Linked DNA regions of Drosophila melanogaster. The protein of the gene in region 1 interacts with the protein of each later gene in a pairwise test. Each region holds a gene or a part of one and is shown on either strand. Other genes may lie near its edges. The genes, in order: CG7006, CG4267 and CG42369.

Region 1 (3,198 bases):
TGGAATTGTGGAGCTGCTGATGGGCCTCTTCGGACTGGGCTTCCTGATTGACTTCGTCTCCGGACCAGTTTCCTCGGGCTTCACCTCCGCCGTCTCGCTGATCATCCTCACCTCGCAGATCCAAAGTGTGCTGGGCATCACGGCCAAGGGCAACACCTTCGTGGAGATCTGGACGCAAGTCTTCCACAACATCGAGCACACAAGGGCAGGAGACACGGTACTAGGGCTAACCTGCATTGTCATCCTGCTGTTGATGCGCAGTCTGTCTTCCTGTCGAATTGGACCAGTCGACGAGAAGGAATGCTCATCCTTCCAGCGGGCTGTGAACAAGATCCTTTGGATCGTGGGTACTGCTCGAAATGCCATTCTGGTGGTCGTTTGCTGCATCATGGGCTATATGCTCCACACCGAGGAGCACGGAGCTCCGTTTCGAGTGGTGGGAGAGATACCACCCGGGCTCCCCAGCATCCAGTTGCCACCCACATCGTTGACTGCCAATGAAACCAGCAATGGAGTGGCCGAGGGATTCGTGGAAATGGTTCACAGCATGGGTTCCGGCTTGGTGGTGATTCCCTTGATCTCGCTCATGGAAAACATAGCCATCTGCAAAGCGTTTGGTGAGTCTTAAGCTCTATCTTTCCCTATATGGTTCCCTATAATAATAGTTGATCCTTTCAGCCAATGGCAAGCCAGTGGATGCCTCGCAGGAATTGATTGCCATTGGAACGGCCAACATCTTCAACTCTTTTGTCCAAGCCTTTCCGGGCACTGGAGCCCTTAGTCGTGGAGCAGTCAATAATGCCAGTGGTGTCCGTACTCCCCTGAGCAATATTTACTCCGGTGGCCTGGTCATGATTGCCCTGCTCTTCCTCACGCCCTACTTCTACTTCATTCCACGCCCTACCCTGGCAGCCATCATTATATCCGCCGTGGTCTTCATGATTGAAGTAAAGGTGGTCAAGCCCATGTGGAGATCGAAGAGTAAGTCATACAAAATATGGAGATAGTGGTCATTTGTTCATCTCACTTTAATAACCCATTAGAAAGTGATCTGGTGCCTGGAGTTGGAACCTTTGTGGCCTGCCTTGTCTTGCCGCTGGAGTGGGGCATCCTCATTGGAGTGGGACTCAATGTCATCTTTATCCTCTACCATGCTGCGCGTCCCAAGCTGAGCACCGAGCTACTGACCACACAGTCGGGTGTGGAGTACTCAATGATCACGCCAGATCGATGCCTGATCTTCCCGTCTGTGGATTATGTGAGGAATCTGGTCAACAAGCAGTCCATTAGGCAAAATGTCCCAGTGGTCATAGATGCGTCGCATGTCTACGGGGCTGACTTCACAACGGCCACGGTTATAGACTCGCTGATCAGTGATTTCAATCAGCGAGGACAACTGCTCTTCTTCTACAACCTCAAACCGAGTATCTGCTCCATTTTCGAGCACGTGTCGGCGGCCCAGTTCGTGGTCTACTACCAGGAGCAGCAGTTGGATGAGCTGCTCAAGGAGCGCAACTATGTGCAGAAGCGGCTCGAGACGGCCTAACTGGCTTATTCTCCTCAACACGTGATACAAATAATTTAGCCTAAGTGTTTGCTTTAATTATTTATGGCGTTGTAAATAGATTGTAAACTAATTGTGTAGTATTATCCAGAGCACACAACTATTAGAAATTGTAAGGTGAACAAATAAGTGTATTTCTTAATTACGTAATAATAACAAACAAAAATAATTTATCTTGTTTATTTCATGAAAGAGTAAAAGTCAGTGAGATTGGTTAACTCAAATCAATTAAAACTATTATTCAGTTTTGTTTATCAGATATATTTGATTTTGAATTTAAATACTTGGGCAATATACAACACTTGATAATGGCGCTATACAGCACTCTTAAGCTATCGATAAAAGCTATAGATAGACCGATATATTCAGTGCTGTTAGCCGTCCCTACTCAACACTGAAACATTTCTCACGTGTAAAGTTGAGCAGTTTGTTTTCCTCTTTTTTCCGCTTAATTTAACTTAAAATGAAACGCCTGAGCGACGAACGTGCCAAGATCTTGTTCGAGCACCTGTCCAAATAGTGAGTACCCAAAACAGATCATCGCAATGCAGCTAACAAGTGCTCTTACAGCATTGGCACAAATGTGAAGCATTTGATTGACCGGCCAGATGGAACATATTGCTTTCGGGAGCACAAGGATCGGGTCTACTACGTCTCGGAGCGGATTTTGAAGCTGAGCGAGTGCTTCGGCTACAAGCAGCTGGTGTGCGTGGGCACCTGCTTCGGCAAGTTCTCCAAGACCAACAAACTGAAGTTCCATATCACGGCCCTCTACTACTTGGCGCCCTACGCCCAGTACAAGGTGTGGGTGAAGCCCTCCTTCGAGCAGCAGTTTCTCTACGGCAACCACATACCCAAAACAGGACTGGGTCGCATCACGGAGAACGCCGGCCAGTACCAGGGCGTGGTGGTCTACTCCATGAACGACCTGCCTCTGGGCTTCGGCGTACTGGCGCGTTCCACAACGGACTGCAAGACCGCCGATCCCATGACCACCGTATGCTTTCATCAGTCGGATATCGGCGAATATATTCGCGCCGAGGACACGCTCTTTTAGATCCATAGATGCTAAGTTTTTACATGTTTTGTAGCAATAACCATGTTTAGGTAAATAATAAGTATGCTGAAAAACGGATAAACTGCTTTTGATTTTATATTTTTAATGTTAATACTGATAATAATAATAATTGATAATAAAACTTACACTACATTTCATAAATTATTATTAAAAAAAAAAATTTTAAATAGTGAGCCAATATTTTGTGGTATATTTTATGCAAGGTATTTTTTGAGTTTGAAATAGTATATACCCGCATTTTCAATGCCAATGGTATTTTGTACCGAAACGGTCACACGCAACACTGCAATTTCTGGACGCGATTTCGTGGGAATCTTCGATGGAAATGCGTCTGAATGCGGCTTCCATATGGCTGTTAATACTGTCGTATGGAGCAACTATTGGTAATAATCAGGACGAAAACAAAGTGGAGCTTCCAGTAGCGACCGGCGTCGAAAACCCGCACGCCCACTTTTTAATATAGGCCAAATAACCTGAGTCATCTAACCCGAACTTTCTTTGTCCACAGCTCAAGGAGAAAGAACCCGCGATAAGATGTACGAGCCCATTGGAGGAG
Region 2 (5,165 bases), on another chromosome or scaffold:
CTTTAAAGTTTCCGTGTCCAAGTTCAGACCCGACTGCACTTGCCAACTGCATTAAGTCAATAGAAAAAGTTGCAGTCATCGTTGTAGAGCTAAAAACTAAAAGTCCCCAGGACAAAACATCCCCCATTCCCCCATTTGCTGCCCCCTTGAACCGCATAATAAGCGCTTTTTGGGGCTACGCCTGACTAAACCAAAAGCGGCGTCAAGATTTATTCTCGGAATCTCGTCGTACTTTGTTATGCTTAAAAATGTTAGTTGTGGATTTACAGTTTTTCCGTTTTGGCCAGAAAACTTTTCACCCTCCGCTCCGAAACTTTGATCGGTAGAGTGATGAAAAAGTGGACGAGCAAGGGAGGTGGGATGTTGAATTGTTGTTGCCAAAACTATTTAAATTTAAACCATATTCCAATGAAGTTATTGAATTTTCCGATATAGGCAAAAGGCAAAACCCTTTCACTTAAATCTCTGCGAAACAGTCTTTAAGTTAAGCTCATTCCAAGCTGGGCAAAAACTTTTTCCGACACATGACAAGGGATTCAAAGTGCAGTAAATTTGTTCGGAATGGAAAACTGTGACCAAGTCTCTGAATTTTCCTTTTCCAGGAACCGAATTCAAATTTCACCCTCAGCCGCAGGAATTCTGCACCACATCCTTCATCCATTTCAGTTGGTCGCGAGGCATTGCCAATTAATTTCCAACATCTAATTGGTGGTTGGCCAAATTTATTGGTCTCGTGGTGGATGGGCTGTTTGCCCTGCCCCCCCAGGATCTGTTTGCGTATTGATTGATGCCTGGAGGTCCTTGTGCCAATCTGAGGTGAACTGCATACCTTGTCGAGGGCTCAAGTAACTCGCTTTGCCCCTCGCGGATTTTCTAATCAACAAGGCAGCAGCCCAAATTTGCATAATTAAAACGTTTTCATGTGGCGCAGGTGGAAGGCAAGAAAGGCCACAAGAAAACCCACCCGCCCCAATTTTCCATTTTCTTTGCCAGCCGAAAAACTGACTCGCTAAGTGACTGAAAATTTGTCGCCTCATTTGAGTTTGGATTAATGAATTATGCACTCGGGGATGCTTAATTAAGCGGGTTTCGAATGTGATTAGGACCACGCAATTAGCCGATAGGTCTGAGCATTTTCGGGATCTGCGATAAGCATTCGCGCTGACTGACAGCCATAAAAACGTGGCCCCAGGATTCGGAAAACCATACTCATTACGCTGCCTTTTTCTGTATTTTACAGCAGGTCAACTTAATGGGGTAATTAACTTATCTGGGTTAAGAAAGGATGGATCGGTTAACCTTTTATGCGTGCCAATTAGCGCCAGAAGGGCTTATGGTTTTGTATAATCATAACAATTTGTCGGTTTTTTAAGGATATTTACTTAAAACTGCATAATACACTTATAATTTTCATGAGTTTTTGTTGTTTTAAACAGATAACAGCACTTTATATTTCTTTATACCTCTAATTTTCAAGATCATCAGCCTGCTAACCTAATCGATACTCTCTATAAGGAAGTATAATGATCTATGAGGAGAGAGAGAGAGAGAGAGAGAGAGTGAGCGAGCTGCGATGATCAGTTATCACTGGAGTGAGTAACCCACTGAGCGTAGACTTGGGGTCGCCGCGCTCTCCGCTCCGATTCGGAAAGTGGAGCTCGCAACGCTCGACCATCGAGAGATTGGCGGAGAGCTGTGTCAGTTGGTTGCGCACGCACCAGTCGACCGGTCAGATCTGCGGCTTATTCCGCCGGCGTTCGAAATTTATAACGGTGGAGATCGGTCATCGGACGCACTACACTCGATCGGTCAGAAGCCCCGAGGGAGATATCTTGGAACAGCCATGATCTCGCAGCTGGGACGGATTAGCATCATGAGTGCGGTGCTTTTGGCATTTGCGGCCATCGTATTTGGTGGGTAATATTCACACATTTCAAGGTCTTATCACAGATCTGTGTAGAAATTCATTTGATTGATATATTTTTGGTTTGCTTGCTATATCGTCTTTAACTAGCCAGCAGCTCGGAGAAAACCGAACTCGATCCCAATGCCACCTGCAACTACACGCTGGTGAAGAAGAAGACCTTGGGGGTGGATCCCTCGTTCTGGAAGAAGTTCTTCAAGCACCTCATACCCTTCACGAGTTCGAGGGGCAAAATGCAGTTCATACTCTTCAAGCGGGACTTCGCGGACTGCGGAAGGGAACTGTTCGTGGGCGATGTGGAAAACCTGAGGAACTCGGGCTTCGATGCACGTCATCAAACAAGGTAAGGGGGATTTCCGGGAAGATTAAAGCCCCGATCGAATGGGGAACTTTGCAGCGAAGTGAGTGTGCCACAATCAATTCATTACACTGAACGGTGAGATAATGGCTAAAAGCTGTACAAACCTTTCAGCTCGCAACAATTGACAGTGTATTTAGTATTCATACTACCACTAAGCCCCAGAAATTAATGTGAGAGCAAAGCACCAATCTAATGAATAGAACCAAAACAAATATTTGCTAGATTCTCTCACCAAATAATTTATTTTTTATATTTCGCGACTAACACGAAAACAGGTTTCTCTGCTTTATATATTTACATTTTTTGGTTGAGCTTTCGTTTGAATTATCGCCATTGAGTCATTGCCATTGGCCTGACAATTGATTTATTGCTAATTACAAGTTAATTCATTATAATAGCTAACAGATAGTAATTGCACAAATTTACACCAAATACGCCAAGCAATACACCAATTTTGCATTAAAAGATAAGATATCAGGCGAAGTTGATATCATATATACATAAATGAATTGAAATATGTTTATTTTAAAGGGAATTGCTATTAGTTTAGTATACATTGATATATTATATTGACTTTCCTGACTGCTTATTTTTAGGATAGTCATTCATGGCTGGATGAGTCAGAGCAAAGGTTCGCATATAAGGAAGGTTAAGAACGCATACCTCAGCCTGACCGATCCGGGACCCAACGGAGAGCCCGCCCCCTACGAGGACTTCAATGTGATCGTATGTGACTGGAGCAAGACTTCCACGAACGTAAACTACTACGAGGTGGCCAAGACGGTGGAGGACATGGGAGCCCTGCTGGCGGAACTGGTGCGCTATCTGAACCAGGAGGCGAACATGCACTACGACGACGTATACGTCATTGGACACTCTCTGGGAGCGCAGATCGCCGGCAGTGCTGGCAAGCAGATAATGCCATATCGATTCAACACCATATACGCTCTGGATCCGGCGGGTCCACAGTTCCGGGAGAAGAGCGACGAGTACCGAATCGATGCTAGTGACGCCTCCTATGTGGAGTCCATTCAAACCAGCGTTAGCTTTGGCTTCGAGCAGCCCGTGGGACACGCCACCTTCTATCCCAACTATGGGAAGAATCAGAAGAAATGCTATGTCTATGGCTGTTCTCATAAGAGATCCCATGACTACTTCATAGAGTCGCTGACGAGTCCGGCGGGATTTTGGGGACCGCGCTGCGAGCGTCACGATGATGGCACCTGGCTGCTCCTAATGAGCGATGGAGAGTTCCGGATGGGCGGGGAGCCCTCAATCCCCAAGAACGGAACTTTCTATGTGAAAACCTACTCAAAGCCACCCTATGCCATGGGCCACAGGTGGCAAACGGAACCGCCTCCACGGGAAGATGATATTGAGAACTCCACGGAAGAGTAGGATATTAGTTAATATGTGTACATTTGTTGATGAAATAGAAGTTTGGTATTTATAATTGGTTATTTTTCTTTTATAGAGAATTTATTATAAATAGTACACCTATTTCTAGAAACATTTTTTTAAGTTACTTCTTATCTCGCAACAACGTGAGCCAATTAAGTTTTATGGCGAACTATTCACAAAGAAAAACCATCTAGCGAGTGTGTAAGTCAGCTGGGAATAACTATTAGTAACCTAAACTTCAAGATAGGTATATAAACCTCACGAGGCACGGAAGGCTTATCCACTCTTTCCACAATATTCAACCGAAAATGTTCCGCGCTCAACGTGTTTGCTTTTACTTTATAGCTTTCCTGGCCTTCGCAGCTGCCAGACCTAAAATAAACTCGCAAATTTCCCAAAATCAAGTTGGATTTCGATTGTCCAATGTTTTGACCAAAGAAAGTGTTGCTTCCAAGTCATCAATGTCCACAGAGGCAACCAGTGAACCATCCACTGTGACTTCTGACGTGCCCACACTAACTTCACCATCATCATCATCATCTGAGGAAACTAGTGAAGCACCTGAAAGTTCCAGCCAGCAACTATCACCATTGACTGAAAGCTCCAGCGAAAAGGTATTTGAGGTGACCACAGTACCTTCATCTTCGTCGGCGGAAACTAGTGAAGCATCTGAGACTTCTAAGGCATTCACCGAAACAACCACCACCACGGAAAGTGACGTGACATCTGAAGATTCCACCGAAGATGAGTCATCTGAAGATTCCACCGAAGATGAGTCATCTGAAGATTCCTCCGAAGATGAGAGCTCCGAATCAAGTGAGGAATCAGAGGAAGGATCGTACTACTATGATGATTCGGAATACGACTACTACGATAGTTACTTATATTATTGATTCATCGCGTTACCATTAAACTTTATGTCAGATCGGAATACAAATCTTTTTGAAGAGGCTTGAAAATTTAGTAAAGTAAACAAAATGAAGCTGTCATTCATACTGGGTCTTGCCGTTTTTAGTCTTTTGGCTTCTACAGGAGCATTGCCGGTGCCTCAAGCTCCATTGGTTATGGCATTGGTCACCAAACCCGAAATGGATATTCCAGATATTGATCTCTGGGCCAGGACTTAAAAGGTGAGCAGAGATGCCAATTTTCGACGCCAAATCTTGATGAAACGTTTTAGTTACAGGATACTTTAGACTGCCTTCTGCACACTGTTTTTCGCCCTGATTCGCTGCATATTTGGAAAAGAATTTTTAATTAAAACAAACAATATGTTACCCAAATTGTTGCTGCTGCTTTTGGAGCGCCGAAAAGCTGTGCAAAATTGCACATATTGGACAAGAGGCTGCGACGGGTTGTTGCTAATGCATTTACTTGGCTTAATTAGTTGAGATTCTACATTATTCATACGCCACGTGTGACCAGCGGCCACCCACTCGCCTGCAAATGCCCACCCGCCCAATGTGCTGATGCCTGCCG
Region 3 (3,830 bases), on another chromosome or scaffold:
TATGTGCGATGCTCTATATTGGCCCCTCAAGCATTTACTTAATCTGTCAAGTTGAGTAAACAATGAAGCAAAATAGAAGGACAGATAAATACACTGAGATAATTTTATGACAATATCTTCGATTTAAATGGAAATCATGAAATCTTGCATTAAGTACTTTTCGCATTTGTATTTACTTTGGGAATTCTGATCCCAAGTAATGTAGCTGAAAGAACTTAAAATTCTCTTATACAGATGACTGTCCAACATCTTTATTGGATATAGATGTGTGCATACCCAATGCCTCTAGGAGTACAGGGTATTTATTCATATAAAAGAGCACAACTTAGAATGTAACTTAGAATGATGCTCGGTCAACGCGCGGGATGAGCGATAAAATCAAAGCACAGTATAACCAAAACAATTGTTCAAAAAGAAGAGCAATTTTTTCGGACAATGAAGAAAGCGCATAAGAAGTGTTTTGAAAAAAACAAAAGTTTAACTCCTTTAAAATCATTAAAACGCTTTTAGCGCTTTTCACGCCCCTGGCCAGCGAGAATTTCCACCCGTCTGGCAAAGCGCTGGAAAGTTTAGTTTCGGCTTTGTTACCGAAAAAACAGAAAGACAAAAAAAAAAAAAAGGAAAACTGTCGGCGATGATGGAAAAAGTGGCAAAGTTTTTCTCAAAGGCATCACTGGCGAAGTATAAGAATAAAATGACCGACCATGAGTGACCGGAGCAAAGCTCTATGGGCTAGTAGATACCCTAACCAGATGACTTTCTTGCGAATAGATTTTGTCACTTAAGTGCCAGCAATGTGGAGGGCAGCCGTTCCTCCAGCCATGACTCCTTGGCTTTCGTCCTCCAGAAATCCTTTGTCCTTGGCCACAGTTTGAATCAAAGTGTCTTGGTCGTTCGCCATTGAAGCGAATGCGTAGCCCATGCCAATTGTGCAATTGTTGGAAAATTTCTTCTTCAGGTTTTTGGTATCTTTTATTTTTTCTTACATTTTTTTTTTTCCTAAAAACTTTATCGGTGTGCCTTTCATTTTTTCTTAACCATTTTTCCCCATTTTTACGCTCTTTGCCAAACCGTTTCCATAGTTTTTTTTTGCGTTTTGGGTTTCGTCTTAAAAGGTGTTGGCCATTATGCGGTTGCAGATACCCTTTGATCGAATATTAAAGGCTAATGCACAGAAATGTTCGAACGAAATCGAAATCAAGTGTTTTCGCTAAAAGTTGGCAAAGGGGAAGTGGCATGAGTTCAATCAATTTGACGAACTTCAATCAAGCTGCGCCATAGAATGAAGAACGACGAGCATCGCTGATTTGGAATCCATGTGGATTCATGCCACATCCCATTTGGGATTCCGCTGAAGTTCTGTCGTCAAATGGCAGCAGTCTGCAGTCTGCAACTTTAAGCTAACTTGTGATAGGTATCCCGCACACGCGCTCAGTTTGAGTTCGGTCAACAATTGCCCGCACAGACAAATTGGGAAGGAGCGCTGACTATTTGATACATTGTAGGGACCAATGTCCTGGCCATTTGCAGTTGCACGGGCACCAGGTTACAGCGAATCGATTCCCTCATTCAATCCTATCCCGATTCACCAGTCAGTTGTTGCCACTAATGCCCTTTCGACGAACAATAGTTGTCGAAATGGGGAAAGGATAAAAATGCATTACCTTCAAATAAAAAGTTATGTATTAAATTGTGCTGGTTTCTGACAGAGGAATTGTAATCAGCGCTGAACTCTTTCCTTTCTTATTTTCGCTGTCCTTAATTTGCGTTCGATTATTAGCAGAAAATAAAATATAATATAATTTGCACGAATTGGATTACCCATTATTTCTCTCAGTGCCAGCTCCGTAGCGATAAGGCTGTCGAACTGAGCGCAGTTCGCTTTCGCACTGGTTAATCGTCAGTGGTCGGCTTGGCATATCAGACGAACTAACCGCATCACCGACTTGACTACTGACCCCAATCTAAGCCCCTTCGTCTAATCAGCCAACTGGCGGCGACAACAACGCAGTTTCTGCAATCAAAATCAGTTGGAGCCAGCTCCCTCTAAGATGATGATCGAGTGGTGGCTGCCATGGGTGTGCCTCTTGCCGCTCATGCAGGCGGATCCTGTTGCTCCCCAGCTGGATCTTGGTGTGAAGGACTTCCAGCTGGAGCTTCTGCGCGAGTTAAGCGACCTGGTGCAACAGCGGATTGAACCGAGTCTCAACGACTACCTGGATCGTCTAGGACGCATTCCTCGGAATGCCAACTACACCGAAGAGATGAGTGCAGCTCGCGCAACACCAAAGCTTCAATTGAAGGTGACGCTCATCAAGCAGCTGCTCGACGTGCGTCCGCACCTGGACACGGATATGGAGTACACCATTGTGCTGCGCAACCTGGTCTTTCTGAACCGAGTCAGATCCACGCTGAGGGCTGCCGAGGAGACTAGCACACAAGAGATCCGAATGATGCGCATGCACCGCCTCTGCCAGCAACTTGACCGACCGGCTCCTCATCGCGGCAGTCGCCTGATCAACGAACAGACAGTCGGGGCGGCATTGGGGCAACTCAATCTGACCAAAAAGGAGGTGAACTCCACCGGCTTGGATCTCAATGAGTTCGGGGCGCAGCTGTACGAGCGGGTCAAGTTATCCGGCGCCGAAATCATCGACAACTACCTGCACATACTGCGTTCCCTGCTGCAGGACATCATCGACGGTGACCATGCTGATCTGGCCGGGAGCAGTGCCAAGCTGGACAAGATGCAGCAGCAGCTGGACGTCATGCTTGCCACGGAGGACTTCTTCGAGAAACGTCAACGGGTGTATGCGTACCTGGAGCACCACTTGCGCACCGATTACGAGGAGATGCGGGACACATCGAGCAGCGAGCACATCACCGAACATCTTCTCGCCCAGCTGAAGACCAAGGGACTGGACCTGTTCGTCATCTTTCTTTTTAGCAATTTTGAATTCCTAGACCTGGTGCACGAGCACTGGGAGCAGCTGTTGCCACAGTCACCCAGTTTGCTATACGACGAGACCGCACGCCAATTGTACGATCTGCAGCAGCTGTATCAGGTCTTCAAGCTGGACACGGAGTGCGAGGCCAAGTACACGGCCTACTCGGACGCACTGCGTCGCTTGCACGAGCGGACCGTGGAGCAGGGTCAGCGCAACCGGCACATCTTTGAGCTGCTCCACAACGCGGCACAAAGCGTCGGCACGGTTACCTTCAACATGATCCGGGCCAAGTGCAATGAGCTAAGATGAGATGACATTTATAATAAAACCAAACTTTGCTACTTAAATGATGAGAGTTGCGTGCTTTTGGCTATATAGTTCCACATACTAATATCTTATATTGAAGACATCGCCTGTGCTGCAATTGACAGCGTTTGAAAGGACAAGTTTCACAACATAATTACATTTTGCCAGTTCCTGCGGTTGTCGCCTGCTTTTAATATCCGTCTGCCGCATCTGATTTCGCTTAAGTATCGTCCAGGAACACCTTTCCACATCTTCGGGGTGAGCGGACAGCAACTTCCTTTTGCCGCATTATGCAGATGTTGCCGTTAGTGTTGCTTCTCCTGGTGTTGCCACTGCTCGTTGTTTATCAGATGCTGCCAGGGCTCTAAGGATTCAACTCTTGCTCCTGCTTCAGCTCCAGCTGAAGCTGCAGCATCATGGCTCCCTTGTGGTACCGATGGGCCTTCAGACTAATGACTGCTGCTGCCGCTGTCGTTGGCCAAAGCCAGCTAATTAATTGTCGTCGTTGCAGGTGATTAGAACTTAAATGAGTTGCCGGTGCAGCAGAAGTTTCCGTGGCACAGTTAGCCGTCAAAA

The links.
Region 2: the proteins of CG7006 (region 1) and CG4267 interact in a two-hybrid assay, tested with the Drosophila melanogaster proteins (one large-scale study listed by BioGRID).
Region 3: the proteins of CG7006 (region 1) and CG42369 interact in a two-hybrid assay, tested with the Drosophila melanogaster proteins (one large-scale study listed by BioGRID).

What each region holds. Positions count from the first base shown.
Region 1 is NT_033777.3:24,848,688-24,851,885, forward strand, and holds CG7006 (uncharacterized protein), read left to right. Parts: upstream 1-1,939; 5' UTR 1,940-2,027; coding exon 2,028-2,083; intron 2,084-2,134; coding exon 2,135-2,621; 3' UTR 2,622-2,698; downstream 2,699-3,198. Other genes in the region: Esp (epidermal stripes and patches), read left to right, coding at 1-617, 679-981, 1,044-1,546; Nct (nicastrin), read left to right, coding at 2,962-3,025, 3,151-3,198.
Region 2 is NT_033779.5:2,240,679-2,245,843, forward strand, and holds CG4267 (uncharacterized protein), read left to right. Parts: upstream 1-1,699; 5' UTR 1,700-1,843; coding exon 1,844-1,913; intron 1,914-2,014; coding exon 2,015-2,267; intron 2,268-2,881; coding exon 2,882-3,683; 3' UTR 3,684-4,596; downstream 4,597-5,165.
Region 3 is NT_033779.5:6,395,315-6,399,144, reverse strand, and holds CG42369 (uncharacterized protein), read left to right. Parts: upstream 1-1,895; 5' UTR 1,896-2,051; coding exon 2,052-3,257; 3' UTR 3,258-3,292; downstream 3,293-3,830.